Linked DNA regions of Rattus norvegicus. The main gene of each other region encodes a partner of the protein of the gene in region 2 in a complex. Links are inferred from orthologs where the notes say so. Each region holds a gene or a part of one and is shown on either strand. Other genes may lie near its edges. The genes, in order: Senp2, Sumo3, Uspl1 and Senp1.

What was found.
Region 1: the proteins of Sumo3 (region 2) and Senp2 are in contact, whole or in part, in a crystal structure (PDB 2IO1), measured with the Homo sapiens proteins. The link is inferred for Rattus norvegicus from reciprocal best matches to the Homo sapiens genes SUMO3 and SENP2. Residues at the interface, in NP_008867.2 of Homo sapiens: Arg55, Arg58, Arg60, Phe61, Asp62, Gly63, Pro65, Asn67, Asp70, Leu75, Asp81, Asp84, Phe86, Gln87, Gln88, Gln89, Thr90, Gly91, Gly92, Val93, Pro94, Glu95; in NP_067640.2 of Homo sapiens: Gln385, Asp386, Phe393, Lys394, Leu395, Arg396, Trp410, Leu411, Asn412, Asp413, Glu414, Ser439, Thr440, Phe441, Pro444, Lys445, Arg456, Trp457, Lys459, His474, Lys476, Val477, His478, Trp479, Met497, Gln499, Gln542, Asn544, Gly545, Ser546.
Region 3: the proteins of Sumo3 (region 2) and Uspl1 are in contact, whole or in part, in a crystal structure (PDB 7ZJU), measured with the Homo sapiens proteins. The link is inferred for Rattus norvegicus from reciprocal best matches to the Homo sapiens genes SUMO3 and USPL1. Residues at the interface, in NP_008867.2 of Homo sapiens: Gln24, Asp25, Gly26, Ser27, Val28, Arg58, Arg60, Gly63, Gln64, Pro65, Ile66, Asn67, Asp70, Leu75, Phe86, Gln87, Gln89, Thr90, Gly91; in NP_005791.3 of Homo sapiens: Ala234, Cys236, Trp237, Pro321, Gln322, Leu323, Arg324, Met330, Glu331, Ser332, Val334, Phe335, Leu339, Tyr368, Thr378, Thr380, His393, Phe394, Gly395, Pro396, Asn398, Arg407, His421, Val423, Tyr451, Asn454, Asn455, His456, Phe457, His493.
Region 4: the proteins of Sumo3 (region 2) and Senp1 are in contact, whole or in part, in a crystal structure (PDB 6NNQ), measured with the Homo sapiens proteins. The link is inferred for Rattus norvegicus from reciprocal best matches to the Homo sapiens genes SUMO3 and SENP1. Residues at the interface, in NP_008867.2 of Homo sapiens: Gln24, Ser53, Arg55, Gln56, Arg58, Arg60, Asp62, Gly63, Pro65, Asn67, Thr69, Asp70, Gln74, Glu76, Asp84, Phe86, Gln87, Gln88, Gln89, Thr90, Gly91, Gly92; in NP_001254523.1 of Homo sapiens: Gln440, Asp441, Glu446, Arg449, Leu450, Thr451, Lys455, Trp465, Leu466, Asn467, Asp468, Glu469, Asn494, Thr495, Phe496, Lys500, Arg511, Trp512, Lys514, Lys515, His529, Gly531, Val532, His533, Trp534, Gln597, Gly600, Ser601, Asp602, Cys603.

Annotation. Positions count from the first base shown.
Region 1 is NC_086029.1:92,502,026-92,505,707, forward strand, and holds part of Senp2 (sentrin-specific protease 2), read right to left. Parts: intron 3,384-3,682; coding exon 3,289-3,383; intron 2,608-3,288; coding exon 2,556-2,607; intron 1-2,555. UniProt on the Homo sapiens protein: Protease that catalyzes two essential functions in the SUMO pathway.
Region 2 is NC_086038.1:11,017,410-11,021,791, reverse strand, and holds the start of Sumo3 (small ubiquitin-related modifier 3), read left to right. Parts: upstream 1-1,504; 5' UTR 1,505-1,580; coding exon 1,581-1,601; intron 1,602-4,382. UniProt on the Homo sapiens protein: Ubiquitin-like protein which can be covalently attached to target lysines either as a monomer or as a lysine-linked polymer. Does not seem to be involved in protein degradation and may function as an antagonist of ubiquitin in the degradation process.
Region 3 is NC_086030.1:10,859,174-10,862,745, reverse strand, and holds the end of Uspl1 (SUMO-specific isopeptidase USPL1), read left to right. Parts: intron 1-946; coding exon 947-2,793; 3' UTR 2,794-2,982; downstream 2,983-3,572. UniProt on the Homo sapiens protein: SUMO-specific isopeptidase involved in protein desumoylation. Specifically binds SUMO proteins with a higher affinity for SUMO2 and SUMO3 which it cleaves more efficiently. Also able to process full-length SUMO proteins to their mature forms.
Region 4 is NC_086025.1:131,097,392-131,101,718, reverse strand, and holds the start of Senp1 (sentrin-specific protease 1), read left to right. Parts: upstream 1-1,482; 5' UTR 1,483-1,587; coding exon of another isoform or gene 1,588-1,615; exon of another isoform or gene 1,616-1,714; 5' UTR 1,715-1,717; coding exon 1,718-1,769; intron 1,770-4,327. Other genes in the region: Pfkm (ATP-dependent 6-phosphofructokinase, muscle type), read right to left, coding at 1-58. UniProt on the Homo sapiens protein: Protease that catalyzes two essential functions in the SUMO pathway.

The DNA.
Region 1 (3,682 bases), on a different chromosome or scaffold from region 2:
GTAGTTCAAGGCTACATAATGAGTTTGAGTCTACCCTGGGCTAAATGAAACTGTTTCAAACTTTTTTTTTAATTTTAAAATTAGGATTTATTAATCTCTAAACAAAACTGGCCTTGGGAATCCTGACACTGCCCTGTCTCTGCTTCCTGAACTGCCATAAACAAAGCGTGTCATTCTAATGCTTTTCTCAGCATGACAGACTGACTTCTCTAAAACTGTGAGCTAAAATAAACCCTTCCTCCCTTACAGCATTTGTGTCAGGCATTTTAGCAGCAGTGGAAGGAAACTAACATGAAAATCAAATGCTAGAAAAGTGGGCTTGCTGCTGTGACCAACCTCTCTGTGGCTCTTGCAATGTTGGAACTAGTCTGAGGAAGAATATGAAAAAAAATGCAGATTTAGGTCAAAGAGACACTCTACAATGCTGCAGTAGGAGAGATTGACAGGTGCTGGCAAGACCAGACTGAGGAGAAATGCAGACACTGGATTATACTTGTTAGGTTCAGACAGGGCAATGATACTACTATGTAAGAATGGCTGCATTTTCTTTGCCACCTAAAATCTTCCCTGAAATTGAGGGCAATTTAAAAGAGGATGGCATGCAGGAAGAGGTGGTCTATGCCTGTAAACTCTACACTCAGTGGGCAGAGGAGGGAGGATCAGGAGTTGAGGTCAGCCTTACACAGTAAGATCCTGTCTCAAAAGACCGGGCAGGAAAAGGGGGCTGAGGAGGTGGACGAGTTGGTAAAATACTGAGCTTGGTCCAGTATCCATGAAAAAGCTGCTCACAATAGCACATGCATACGCTGTGGGCTGGGGCTTGCTGGTCAGACAGTTCAGCCAAATCAATTCTAGGTTCAGTGAGAAACCAGGTCTCAAAAAAAAAAAAAAAAAAAAAAAAAAAAGATTGAGGAAGACATCTACTGTCTCTACCTCTGACTTCCACATGCATGCACACATATACACCCACCCTGCCTATTCCCTTAAGAAGAAAAAGAGGTAGGGAAGCAATAACTAACAGCAGTGACTAAAGAACTTGAAAGGCTCTTTAGCCACCTGTACAGGGAAGAAAAATGCAGAGCAGAGAGAGTTGAAGCCAACACACCGAAAGCAGTGGACAAGGTGATGCAATTAAAGACTAGCACTGCTGGGGCTCGCCCTGGCACCCTGACCTGCAGAAACCTCAGGTGTTCCTCCCTAGAGTAAGGAACTGACCATGGCTTTTGAGCACAAACCTGCCTGCTCAGTGTTCCATGACTGACCCCAGCACCCGCTGTTTGTCTCCCTGTAATCTTATTTATCTGAGGGGTCAGCAAATGTTCTATGATACACAAGCATAAACCAGAGGGCAACCTCAGGAAGTTGGTTTTCTCTACTAGGTGAGTTCTGGGAATCAAACTCAGGTCTTCAGACTTGGTGGCAAGCACCTGAGCCATCTTGCCAGCCCTGTAAATTCATTTAAAGAGAGCCTTGAGAACAAAGTACTTTTCTTGTAGAAAGCTGCCTGTGGATCACCACCTAAACAGAGGCCACAGCAGCTTTTGTCAAGCTCGTAAGAGACCTCAGTATTGTCTAGGTGCTACTGTTTTTGCAGACATACAATGTGTAGGAATTATAGGGTCATGGAGGTGTTCACCTGATTTCCAAGGGCCTGGAGACTAGGCAATGTTTAACAGGGTCAGCCTTCCTGTGGGGAGTTGGGAGGGCAACAATAAAGCCTCAGTGTCAATGCAGACTCTGGTGAGTTGGAGGAAAGCCATGCGTGAGTGTCCACGGAACCTCAAATGCAAGGCCAACGGTGGCCAAGCTCACAACATGTCAGCTCCTATCTTAAGGTTTTATACAGCAGTTGTCTCTGTTCAGCAGTGATCTTGCTTTGGTCTCACTGCTCCTTTCTGACTGTCCCATCAGTCACTCTGGGATGAACTATTTACCCTGGGCCACAGAATACACAGAAGTGCATCATTTGATTTACATGGGTCTCAAAGCTAGCTGTGGTCTCAATCTCTGACACGTCTTTCAGAAGAGTACTGGCTACTTTGCAAAGTTCTCAGCATCCACATGGTGGCTCACAACCTTCTGCAGCTCTAGTTCTAGTTTTAGGGAACCTGAATCCCTTTCTGGACTCTGGAGACACCAAGCACCCAAGTGCTTGTAGCTTCATCCACAACGTCTTTACCACTGTGGTTTCCTCAACAAACAGTCAGATGAACCAGATCTGGACTCTTGGCCACAGCTGGCAAGTCTGTTATAAAGTTGTAACCACCCAAAAGTTCCCCAGGGAAAGCAGACGGCCTTCCCCCTTCCTATGTCCAAGACGGTGCCCTCTGGAGACTCAGACTCTTGAGAAGCACCTACTTACCCAAGCCCCGATGGCTGAGGGATGAGGGGCAGCTTCAAAGGGTCTGACTTAAGAACTATTCACCTACTCCTGAGTGCTGACTACATACCAGACCAAGGAGATTCACAGTGCCTCATGGTGATTCATAAATGTAATTTGCAAAGTGAGAAAACTTAATTCTAAATGAAATCTTAAAATTAAATGAGCCATGTACCTCTTTTCACTTCTCACTGAACAGAGAGGTCCTCTTGTTTCAACAACTCTATCTGTGGGGATGGAAAGAAGAGATCCTTTACTAACCAATCACAGGTTAGAATTTCAGTACACAGATTCTAAGTACCAGCACATTTGTTTGCACTGATGCTAATGTGAGTTAAAAAGCCACTGGCTGCCTCACATACAAGCACCTAAAATACATGTAACTTTCTCTCCCTTAAATCCTGAGCACAGTTGATAACAGTTCATTTAATAAACTAAAGTCATTCAGTGAATAGTTACTGGAGAAATATAAGAAAGTTAATATAAGGAAGTAAATTAATTTTAATTTCACAAAATATACTACTATACAGTATTTTAGCAATCAACTTAATCTTTTTTTTTTTTTAATAATTTACTTATATATGTGAGTACACTGTAGCTGTCTGCAGACACACCAGAAGAGGGCATCAGATCCCATTACAGATGGCTGTGAGCCACCATGTGGTTGCTGGGATTTGAACTCAGGTCAGCAGTCAGTGCTCTTAACCACTGAGCCATCTCTGCAGCCCCAATCAACTTAATCTTAAAACAATTTTCTTTTTTAAAATAAAACTTTAGGTACTAGATAAGTGCTAGCCGATGTCTAGAAGCCTGACAATATTTTATGGTCTGTTATACCACACTTCAGTAGCGTGCTCTCACATGAACCGCAGGCAGAGTCTTAAGAAAGAGCTAAGTCTGGAACTCACACTGTTTGGGAACCAAATGGGTTGTTCTGACTCCATGATTCTGTTCTTCCATCCAGCCTTTGGTCTTTAATGTGTCCATCTGCGTTCTCTGAGAACTTAGACAAAAGTGAGGAAGATCAGATCAGACACAAAGGAAAAGACCTTAGAGTGTAAGTATTACCATCCCAGCCCACAACAAAACCTATGATATATAGTGGCTAAAGTTAAAATTCCCAAATAATAATCAATTCTTTCTGTATTCAGTACGCTAGACAATCTTGTGATCGACTTGCTGTGTGGGAGTCTGTGTACTTACAATCAGTTGCTAAGTTACCAGATGAGCGGACATGCTGGACTTGCATGTTCCTGCCCACCTCTCCAGGTAAGACATTACCTCCTTTTCCACTCTCACCTA
Region 2 (4,382 bases):
GCTGGTTTCTGGAGTTTGCCCCCACCCCCACCCCAAACACACACACAGTCTGAGCTGGACATTTTGTTCAGCTGAGGATGACCATGGTCTGTGTTTGAGGAAAATCCACACTTTGTTCTGGTTGGGGTGAAGGATGACTTCCAAATGAGTCTTTGTGGAAAGACCTTGACAAACTTCCCGAGGAGAGGTTTTGTGTACAGGGGAAGGAGGCTTTAAAGGTTGGGCTCACAGATACTTGGCTTAGTGGCTTTGCAGTGCTACCAAGAAGTAGGGATACTTCTCTGCTGGCCCTCCTTTGGAACAGAAACATAGTTCTGTCAAACAGAGTGCCAGTTCTCTGGAGGCCGCTGTGTGGTTCTGAAACATGGCCACCAACAGCCTCTTGGGACTACTGTGGGTGACTGTGTCAGTCCCAACTGGTGTGTTTTGCAGGTGTTAGCATTTAGACACAGAGGGCCTGTGGACTGCATTCTAAAAGTTCATGACAAGATACAAGGAAAAGACACTCTCGACACCCTAGCTAGCGCTCCCGATGGATCTAGCGGCTTGATGCTCAAGTGTTTCTTTCCCTGCTTACCAAGTTGACTGCTTGGGCATACTATTAAAATTCTAGGTATCTTAGTGTCCTGTGTAAAGTGGGTTATTAACAGCATTCCAGAAACTGGGCAAATAAATGGTAGGTCAAAAGGAAGGCCTTCTGTGCCTGCCACTATCACCTACCCCAGCCACCTAGTGGCTACTTTGGGACTATGTAAGGAGGAAGAAGATAGATAGACAGGGAGAATGAAGAGGAAGAGGCATGTCCCTCTGGGAGCCATGTTGGGAATGTGCTTTGGAGGCTGGTCCACCCCACCCAGGAAGTCAAATGGAAATAGGAGTTATGTGCTGGCTTTCAGGGCCAACAGAAGCCATCCTCTGTGCCCTCAAAGGATGCCTTTTTCAGACATGAGCCCTCGCTGTGACATTCAGATTCAAAGCCAGAGGCCTGTTCTAGGAGTGTGTGGTCCATAAACCATGCCTGGTAACCTCCTTACTGGTCCTCTGGACCACCTGAAAGGGTTAGTCGGACATCCCTGAGTTTCTTCGCCTTCCCTTCCCCAAATGCAGCCTGTATATGAGAAAAGTCCCCAAACGTGGGTGTCGAAGTGGCTGCCGGTTGGACCAAAGCGTTCCTCTGCCTTCTGACTTAGCACTCGTGCCCCCAAGTTCTCCCGTGCCTCCCTACTCCCTGCGTAGCCGCACAGTCTTGCACCCACATCCGGGGGGGGTCTCTGGGCCCAGGGCCACGAGTCGCGCGTCCCCGGGGCCCTGCGCGCGCCCGGGCGCCTGACCCGCCCCGTGACGCATTTGCAACCGTCCGGAATCGCGGCTGGCCAGCGCGCACCCGCGGCGCGGGGCACGCGCCTCGTGCACGCGCCCGACCACGTGACTCCGCGCGGCCAACCGGCGCGCCGGGATTTAGGGATAAAGCGCGGCCCCGCGACAGTTGCGGCGGGAGAGCGGCGGGGCAGAGAGCGTGACTCGCCCGCTCCAGTGCCACCGGTTCCCGCTGCGCTTGCCGCCGCCGTCGCCGCGCAACCATGTCGGAAGAGAAGCCCAAGGTAAGCCCGGTACGCAAGACGCAGCAGATTCCGCGGGACGCAGGCTGGGCCGCGCGCAAACGGGACCCGCGGGACCGCGCCCGGGCCTCCGCGCCCCTCCCCCACTCTACCGCGCCCCTCCCCCACCGGCATCGCACTCCTCCCCGGAGCTTTGCTCTAGCCCCGCCTCCGGCTGTGCCTCCCGCCACGACAAGGCTCCGCCCCCGGACTAGCCCCGCCTCAGATGGAGCCACGCCCACGCCCCCGAGAACCCGGAACTTGGGTGCTGGTTCTTGGTTCACAGGGCTCCCCGTCGGTCCTCACTCCGGACACGGCTGTCTTTTGCATGCCGTGCGCGAGGCGCAGCGGTCGCTGTGAGAGCTGCACCAGTGTGGGAGCAAGGCTGGCCGCTCCGAGCTTCCAATGTTCGCCCGGCCGCATGCCCTCCCACTCCATCGCGGTGGTCTCCGCAATTGGTGCTTGGAAAGGCCGGGTTTGCCCATTCCAAATTGAACAGTTTTTCCAGCCTGCTCTGGTGGGGATAGTTTTATCCAACGGGAGATGAACGTTGGAGCCTGGTATTCTGTGCTCTTGACCGGCCTGGAGATGACCACTTTCTTGGTTCTGATGACAGACCCTAGGACCAGGGCAAGCATCTGGAATGCCGTGGTACCATGCTCAGCAGCCGAGCCCAGAGATCTCATTCCTGCAGGGCCCTTACCTTTAATTTCAGCTCAGCCTTGGGTCCTGCCTGCACCATCCCGGATATTGAATGAGCACAGTTCGTCCTCTGCCAAGAGTAGACACTTACTTTATATTTTGTAGCTGGTAACTGCAACAAGAGTTGTAACCTTTTGATGAGCTAGGCAAGAAGTGAATGCCTGATGTGGCACTGGAAAGACCACGCCTTCTGTCTCTCCAGGTTAGGGGAGGCAGAGGCTTATATTCTTTTTTATATTTTGGTGATGCAGCCCAGGGACTTTTGTACACTAGGCAGATGAGTAACCAGTGAGTTACGACCCTCCCCTCACCCCCAATTACCCCACTCTCTTTTAGATAAGCTTTCTTTGTAGTCCAGGCTGTTTTCAAACTCAAAGAGATCCTCCTGCTTCAGCCTCCCGAATGTTGGGATTAAAAGCGTGTGTCACTAAGGGTGGCCTGCCTTCGTTTGGTTTTGCTGTGTTTTGAGACTGGTTTCCCTGTGTAACTCAAACTGGCCTCCACCTAGACCCAGGAGTGCTGGGGTGATGGCAGTCACTGTGCTAAGCCCTCGTTCTTCTGAGTTTACTTGTTAATTAGAGAACTCCAGACCGGAACCAGGCATCCTGCTATCCAGGAAAGCATGCCTGAGGCCTTTTCACCTTTGTCTCAGTTTTGAGCACACACACACATATCCTTTTGGGATAGAAGTCAGTGCATCTTGGGACCTAGAATTGTTCATGCTTCTGGCTTACAGACCTCACTTTTTCTCATGTGGGATCCCACCCTTTGGGGCAGGTGCCAAGCTCTGTGAGCAGTACTGCTGTGTCACTGGTGTCCTGAACTGAAGTGGGGGGAAGTCTCACACAGGAGGGGATGGGAGAATGGTGCCCCAAGGCGTGTTCTTTCAGGACCCTGTTGGAACCTCTCTCCTGCCGACCATTCCTCAGACTAGAAAGAGCTGTGCTCCTATCCAAGACTGTTAGAACCCAGTGCAGGGCAGGTTGACTGTTCTACCTCTTTCTCCAGGGATAAAAAGTTGCTGAGGACATCCCAGGGAAACAGGGTGCTTCTTGTGGAGCATGTTCTGTGGAACTGTGGGGAAAAAGCTGGCGTGAGGACAGGGAGAAAGCTTGGTCTGCAAGTAGAATAAGGGATCTGTCTCCTTAGAAATAAAAGGTTCTCAGCTGGAGGGATGGCTTAGTGGTTAGGAGCACTGACTGTTCTCCAGGGGACCAGAGTTCAGTTCTCAGCACCCACATGGCAGCTCACTCCTGTCTGTAACACCCCAATCTGACCCTCTCACACAGACACGCATGCAGGCAAAACCCCAATGCATATAAAATATTAGTTAATGGTCCCAAGGCTGCAGACTGCTCAGCAGTTAGGGTCGCAGGTGGCTCTTTCAGAGGACCTGGTTCAAGTCCCAGCTCCCACGTTACTGCTGACAAACATCTGTAACTTCACTCCCGGAGGATCTGGCACCTTCTTCTGGCCTCCTTGGACACTGCCTACGTGTGATTCACAGACAGACGTGCAAGCAAATACTAATATACATGAAAACAATCATAAAGGTTAAAAAGCCCCTGTGAACTCTTATCCATGGTGGCTGAAATGGTGCATCCCGTGGGCCGAGCCTGCTCTGAACAACAGAAAGGAGGTCCTTTTCAGACTGAACAACCCAAGGTTGGCTGTGCGGCCCATAACAAACTTATTGTTCAAAATGTGTTTCCAGGCAGCAAGAAGTGCTGACTCGGCCCTTGTCCAGCAGCTTGTGTGTATCGTGATTATATAAAAACTACTGCCACTCAATACGGTTTTTTCCTCCAGTATGGAGGATGGAACCCGGGGCCCTGAGCACACGTATTCTTTAGAGCTATACGGAGCCCAGAAGAAAGAGCAGAGTCTGAGATCAGAGGGCCTGGGGGGACCTCAGCCTTTACCACCTCCACTGGATTCACTCAGGGTCCCCTAGTGCCCTTCTGGTTCTCCACCCTTGGCTTTATGCTGGCTTTTCTTACCAGTCAAAGAGCCAAGTGTAGCCTGCAGGTATGTGTTTTTACTAGCCTCATAAGTAATTTTTTAAGCTTTGGCTGTCTAGAT
Region 3 (3,572 bases), on a different chromosome or scaffold from region 2:
CCATGATCCCAGCACTTACCCCTCTTTCCATCTCTTGCTGGTCATGGTCCACTTCACTAGTAGTATTTTAATCTTGTTTTAATTTTTTGTCTTTAAGGGATTAAAAATAAAATCTGTTGGGCCTCAGACCTCTATTTGTCCTGAGTCACTAAACTGACTTTGATGTCCTAACATCAAAGTGATCTGAAGCCCAGCTGCAGAAAGGACTTCTCCTTTCCTAACCTCCCTAGTTCTCAGAATTCTCTCTAATGGAGTCTGTAAGTTTGAAGGGAAAGAGTTTGCTGTGGGTGCAGTTTTGCAGGTGTCTGTAAGAATACTGTAATCCTGTGAGAGTGCTGTGGGTGTGATATCCACTGCTTGCTGCACCCCTGATGTCTAAAATGGGGGCAGAAAATGTTTGTGCAGTGGGCATGAGAATACTGGGCACCATGCTTTCCCAGTCCACCGCATCTGACTCTGTAGATAGAGCTGTCTGTCTGCTCTGCCACAGGTCCCGGGGTAGTTACTAAGAAGCTATTGTTTATCTCAGCTTCTCATGTGGCATAAATAAAGTGTGAGTAAATATAAGGCTCCACCTTCTTCTAATCCCCGTGACTTTTCAGCATCAGGCCATTTTTTTTCCCAGCATGGTTTTTGTTTAATTTTTTTATTGTAACAAAATGGACATAGTATAATTTCTCCGTTTCAACATTTTTTTTTTCCTTTTTCTTTTTTTTTGGAGCTGGGGACCGAACCCAGGGCCTTGAGCTTCCTAGGCAAGCGCTCTACCACTGAGCTAAATCCCCAACCCCGAGCCTGCACCTTTTATAATCAGAAGGAAAGTCTTAGCCTGCGACTGAGGACAGCCTTGCCAGGGCTTCCTTTGTGGTGCTGAGTGACACAGCAGCTGGGAAGGAAGAATGGTGTCAAGAAGGTCTAACCTGTAGCTGTGTTTCTTGTTTCCCAGGGAGTTGGCTGGAGTGTGATGACCTGAAGGGTCCGTGTGCTAAAAGGCATGAGGCCTGTGAAGTGCCAGCATCAGAGACACATATCGTTATTTGGGAAAGAAAATCCCAGGTGCCAGTTGAAGGAGCTGCCTGCCTTCCACACATGAAGCTGCACGTGCAGTCCGTGTCAGGTGAGGAGCAGCCGAGTTCTCTGGCTGGGACCGCCACCTCAGAACCCTCAGTCGCCCATCCTACACCTATGGCAGTTGCTCCTCAGATTCTTCCAGCAACCCAAGCTGTAGCTCATGGAGATAGTGTCCTTTCAGGAACAGGAGGCTTGCTGGACAGCGTTTCACCCTCTGCACTTGAAGAGACTATCCAGGAAACTGCCTCTGTTTCTCAGATTGACTCCAAAGATTGCCTCTTAGAAGACAAACCTGTGGTAGGAAGTGCAGGACCTGTGAGAACACTGACTTTTCAGCCGCAGGACTCCCTGGGGTCTTCCTTGGTGTTGAACCTGTGTGAAGGAATGCTAGTTGCCCCTTGTGTGGATTCCAGGTTCCCATCCCAAGCTGTGAGCACAGGTCTGCAGGCAGTACCGTCTCAGGCAGGGGACACAGTGGTTCCTAAACCTGTGACTGATGCCCCTGTTCCTGTTCTTGTTCAGGAATTGAAGTCCATGGCAACTGAGGACTCTCAGACACAGTTGCTGCCACTGAAAACTGACAGGTTAAACCCTGGACAACCACCAGGTAAAACTCAGGCATCTAATTTGAGAAAAAGAGAAAATGCAGCGTCTTCTAAACCGGTAGCAGCCAGGTCAGCACAGAATCAGCCTCGGAAGGATGAGCAGAAGAAGGCCTTCGTGGGAAGTTGGGTGAAAGGGCTGCTGAGCAGGGGCGGTGCGTTTATGCCACCCTGTGTTTCAGCTCAGAGTAGAGCAGTAACTGACCTGCAGCCCTCCGTGAAAGGAGCCAATAATTTTGATGGCTTTAAAACGAAAAGTATAAACCGCAGGTCTAAAAGGATGTCCAGGAAAGCTAAGCATGTGGAGGAGGCATCTCCAGGTAGCAGCCCTCCACTGTCGGGTAGCACGGCTGCTCTGCCGCAGGCCGCTGGGAATGCCTCCTCAGCCCAGTTGAAGGAGCAGGAAGGCTCACGTTCAGCTCCCCTCAGCCACAGACCTCCCAGTGATGAAAGCGCCATGTCTCCAGCAGGCCGTGCAGAGGCAGCTGAAGATCAGGTTCATAAGCTTCGGCTCAGACTTCTTAAAAAGCTAAAGGCAAAAAAGAAGAAACTAGCGGCCCTCATGTCTTCCCCACGCCGTGAACCGTCTGTAAGCGACCATTCAGAGCCTGCGTCCCACTGTGGGTCTCCGAATGACTGTGACGCAGTAGAAGATCTGCTCAGAGAGCTACAGTACCAGATTGACCTTGCAGACAACAAGTCTGGGTGCACCTCTGCTCCCGACGGCACCTCATGCAACAGCCAGAGTCATGAGGAGATTTTAGCAGAGCTGTTGTCGCCTACAGCCCTGTCAGAGCCCTCAGAAAGTGGAGAGCCTGAGTTGAGGTACTTGGAAATGGGGGACAACAGCACCCCAACACCAGCACCTAGCGAATTCAGTGCTGTTTCCCAGAACACATGTCTGAACCAGGAGCATAATTACTGCAGCCCTGAGAAAAGCCAGTGTGAGGTTGATCTGCATTCAGTCATCGACAGTGCCTGTGTAAGAGCCTTGAACTTGGGGAGTCCCATGAAGACTGACATTTTTGATGATTTTTTTCCTACTTCAGCATTGAATTCGTTAACAAATGACACATTGGACATACCTCATTTCGATGACTCTCTGTTTGAGAATTGCTGAGTGCATGCTAGTGTCGTCGTTTAGTCCTGACCGCTGCTGCTAGGAGGCTGAGCTGTGGGTAGTGCTGGCTGAAGTGCACAGCCTTGTGCTCCAGCCATGGGGAAACTGTGAACTACTGGGGTCTTCCTCTGGTTCTGCCTGTGAGACATGAGATCTCTGCAAATTAAAGTCCTCAGACAAGTTTCTGTCGGTTTCATCTTGTGATTGTGGAAGAATGGTGGGTTCTGACGTTGGTGTATGGGGCCTGGGGAGATGGGTCAAGTGTAAGGATGCCCAGCAAACATGGCCACTGAGTTCCATTCCCAGAACCGTGTAAGATGTGGCAGTGCACACCGGGAGTGCCAGCAGCTTGCTGACCAGGACCAGCCGATCAGCTCCAGCTGCAGTGGAGACTGTCTCACCCAACACTGCCCTGGCCTCTAAACCATGCACATGTACACGCGCGCGCGCACACGCACACTCACAGTACCTTTCAGTATTTAAGACTCGGCCTTCTGTGAGTCAGGTGACAGTGAGTTTACAGATGGGCACATAGGGTGAAGTGTGAGTGATGCACAAGTTAGAAATATTGGGCTAGGCAGCCTCAGGCTCCAAGACAAAGCCACTTGTTCACAAAGGCATCTGCCTCTCTAGTGATAGTTAAACTTGAATTTTAACTATCCAAGTGGTCCGCCTGGTCAGCAACGGTGTATTTAATTATTTATCTCTCACTTACCCCTAAATCCCCCCTCTAATATATCCCCATTATTATGGAAATAATGCATGTTCTAAGGAAGATG
Region 4 (4,327 bases), on a different chromosome or scaffold from region 2:
CATGGCGAGACTCAAACACGCACATGAAAAATCTCAGATGGAATTCGTCTTTACGCATGGCTATTTCCTAGAAATAAAGAGAGTTTAACCCAAATAAATAGATCCATAGAATATTTAAAGTGTCAAAGGTCGACATGGTCTATGTATACTTAATACCACTGGGTTTTAGGGCTTGGCCCTATAAAAATATCAGCATGTAAGGTGATATAAATAATATTTTATATACATAACAAGTATATAAAACCCCTGAACAAACGAGTTTACCTCCTTATGCTTAAGAGTATGGAAAAGGCTGGTAGATTCTAGAGGCTTCCCCTACTTAAAGACCAAATTCAGACAGGCAGTTAAGTGGGTCTAGAACTATTCTGAAGCGCCTTTTCCAAGCTTCTAAATAGGGTCTGGGCCAGAAGCTCGGTAAATAATTTGAACAAGCTAATTTTTCCTCCATTATTCTGTCTTAAAAAGTCTCACATTATTACATGTTTAAGACCTCTGGTGAACCCCATTAGAGATCACTGTTTTAAATTATTCCAGTTATATAAGGTTTGGCGTGTTGTTAAGAGTCTAAGTTAAGATGTTCCCAAAGTTTCTCTTAGTCTCTGTTTCCCCTAGCCCCACTTCTTGTGATCAGTCAAGTGTGACAAGATGCACACTGGTTTTCAAAAGACATAGTTAGAAATCAATTTAGATCTCAAGTCCTCATTTGTCAGGGAAGGCGCAGGTTTCTAAACATCTAGGGCCACAGCGAACAGCTGCCATGGAAACCTGCATGTAAGCCAAAAAAAAGTCAACGAACGGAACCAGGAGACAGCGGGTCAAGGAGCGGAGGGACAGAGAAAAGCAAAGGACGGCGGGCGCACTAACAGTACTCGAAGTGCGACGAAGAGAAAAAACCCCAGTCTGACAGGGTGACAGGAAGATTGAAACTAGAGTCAAACGCTCCCTCAGCTTCTCAGGCCTCGCCACCTCGCGCAGGCGTTCCACGAGCTCTTTGACCTCTTGCCCCACCCCCTTTCCTCCTCGGGCGCCCGCCAAACGGTCTTCCGGTATTGTAAAGACGGTTCCGGTTCACGGAGGTTCCCGGGCTTTGCGGTCCGCGCCCGGCCGGAAACCCCTTTGCCTAGCAGCCGGTTCCGGTTCGGTGAGTGGCGGCGGGAAACTGGGGGAGGGGTGAGGATGGAGGGAGACTGGGCCGGGAGGCTGTGTCGGACCGGGCCCGCTGGCCTCCGCTGGGCTGAGCGGAAGAGAGGACCGCGGTGGGGACCGTGCCCTTTCTTCCGCCCCGCCCCTCGGGACCACCTCCATTCCCCCCTGCTGTCCGGTGGCGGCTGTCTGGCCCGGGTCTGGTAGTTGGGCTTACTGAGGCCGCCCTTTCAGGCCTCCGTCTCCTGACCCGCGGAGAGGCCATCTCCATGCGGTCACAGCAGGGCCTTCTCTGCGCCCAACTCTACTTTCCCAAAGAGAAAAGGCCGGTTGGGATTCCCGGAGTTTCCCGCCAGAGCAGGGTCCTCTGGAAGGAGAGCTGTTTTCAACGAGGAAGTTCAGCTTTCGCTCCCACCTGCTTCACCTCTCTTCCTTGAAACCTGAATGCTGCTTCTCGACTACTGTGTCTCACGTAAACAATTCTCCAACTCTTTTACCCTGTGGTATTTCCCTGGGGTGTGATAGCGCTAGAGCCATCACCAGAGAGAAACGTCTGGACCCTTCTGCACAGGTTATGAGAAACCCCTTAACTGCCACAGTTTTCTTACCTGGCTCATCGCCTCTTGGTAATTGCCTTGAACCTTTTCTTCGTATACCCTAACGTGATCTTTCTGGATATATGCTGGGTTTCCCTTGTCTTGAGCTTGGTGATTTCTGTTTTATCAGTACCTCTACAGTTTTTCTGTTATCTTGTTGGCAATAACTTGCTCCTTTATCACTTTTAAGTCACACTTGTTAAAATTACTTAGATCATGTGGCATACATATTGTATTTGGAGTGATGGTGATTCTTGTAAAATTTTGTGTAGTTCTTTAATAGGCTATCAACTATTCGATGTAGGGTTTTCATTGTAATAGGAAATTCTGGATGAAGTAGAGCATGCCTAAGTGTTCTTCGTAAAGATAGTTTGTATTCGGGACTCTTGCTGAAATGTGGATTACTGCCTTTGAGGTTACAGTGACACCTGTAATAATAACCTGAACCTTCCAGTTAGACTACCTGCCCCCCAGTCCATTTTACAGAGCTTCATAACCTGATTTCAGTTAATTATCCACACCTCGAGAAAGTGGGTGTAGCCTCACTCATCTGGAGAGGGAGTGGATGAGTTTACAAACAGGTTCTGCCACTTGTGGCTAAGGTGAGGGAAGTTTTTTCTTCCACTGACTTCTTCTCCTACCAGTCATGCTAGTTTTGCTGTCTGTGAATACATCTGGCTTCCTCGCCTAGCCTGAAAACTTCTAAAGGGCAAAGGCCAGAGCTTCCTCATGTTTCTATCCCAGAACCCCACACTTAGTGTATGTGTGTAAGCAGTTACTGTTTAGAGGTGTAGAGTATTAAAGTGCTTAAGGTACTAATCCAACTGGGGGAGAGAGTACACATAAAAATACTATGATGAGGACCTGAACAAGTGTGAACTGTATCATAGGTATAGTTGTTTTCCAGAACTCAGAGTAGGGTCACTCACATGCTTACTTCCACTCGGTATCTTGGACCTGCATACAGGTAACTGTACAGGACTGTATTTTCTAGTCACATCATTAGTGCTCTAAACATTCATTTTTATAATCCTCTCTTCCAAAGCATACAGACTTACAAGTAATTTACTACTTTGTATTCTATTGCAGGAGATTTCCCTTTCACTTGGTGTTCAGCTGCTAACTTGATTCACATTAATAAGCAGCTGCTTAGTAACATTCTGTAAGTTAAATGAATGATGAATATTAGGGAGACATTATTAGAATTTTTTATATATATGTATGCGTATATATATTTTGAGACAGGGTTTCTCTGTGTAACCTTGGTTATCTTGAAACTCGCTCAGTAGACCAGGCTGACCTCAAACTCACAAGAGATCCACCTACTTTTGCCTCACACATGGCTGAGGTGAAAGGTGTGTGACTTTACCACCACTGAGCAACAAAGATTTTCTTAAAATAAAAAACTGTCATCCTTGCTTGAATTTGATGACACCTAAGGCTCCTTATTTAGGACTCGTAGAATCTTGATTTTTTTTTTCTTGTTTTTTAAAAATCTCTTCTTCCAACATCATTACTAAAGAAGGTAGAGGAAGCACACCGAAGAAGCAAGGTGTATTTGTAAAAAGGGATGAATAATCATTTACGTATACGAGCCAGACTAGATTACTCAAAGCTAGTTGGAGGTGATTTTTCAATTGCCCAGGTAAATCTTTGAGTGAATTTGTTTGAAGGATGTGAAACTGTGCTAAGCTTGAGTGTGTATTTGTTGAGGAATTCTTGAGTCCTTCCTTTTGCCCCATCTGTGTGATTTTATGCAAGTCAGTTAACTTTTTGAATTATTGAACTTCTAGCTTGTTTTCTCCTTCCACATCTCTAAAGTGAAAAAAAAAAATTAATTGGGATTATTCTACTGGATACCAGATTTTTTTTTTTCCTTCTGAGAGAGTATCTTAAGGGGTTGGGGATTTAGCTCAGTGGTAGAGCACTTGCCTAGCAAGCACAAGGCCCTGGGTTCGGTCCCCAGCTCCAGAAAAAAAAAAAAAAAAAAAAAAAGAGAGAGAGAGAGAGAGAGAGAGAGAGAGAGAGAGAGAGTATCTTGCTATATAATCCAAGTGGCCTCAAACTTGGAATCTTCCTATCTCCCAAGTTGTAGATACTAGACTTTTAAATTGGCATTTTGTTAAAAGATTTATTTATTATGTATGAATACACTGTAGCTGTCTTCATACATACCAGAAGAGGGCATCAGATCTCATATCAGATGGTTGTGAGCCACCATGTGGTTGCTGGGATTTGAACTCAGGACCTCTGGAAGAGCAGTCAGTGCTCCTAACTACTGAGCCATCTCTCCAGCCTGACTTCTTTTTAAGGTATGCAGAATAAACTAGTCACAATCAGAAAGTAACTTTGGTTGTTGGATTTTTTCCCCCACCTTAATCTGGACCCTAAAGAATGCTACCCTAATGCCCTACTGCAGGAGGTAAAGCTCAGTGGTTAAGAGGTGTCCTGCTCTTCGAAGACCTAGGTTCAGCTTCTCTCACACAGAGACTCACAGGCATCCATAGCTCCAGTTCCAGGGGATCTGAAGCCCTTTTTTAACCTCCACAAGCACTAGGTATGCACATGGTACACAGACACACATTTAG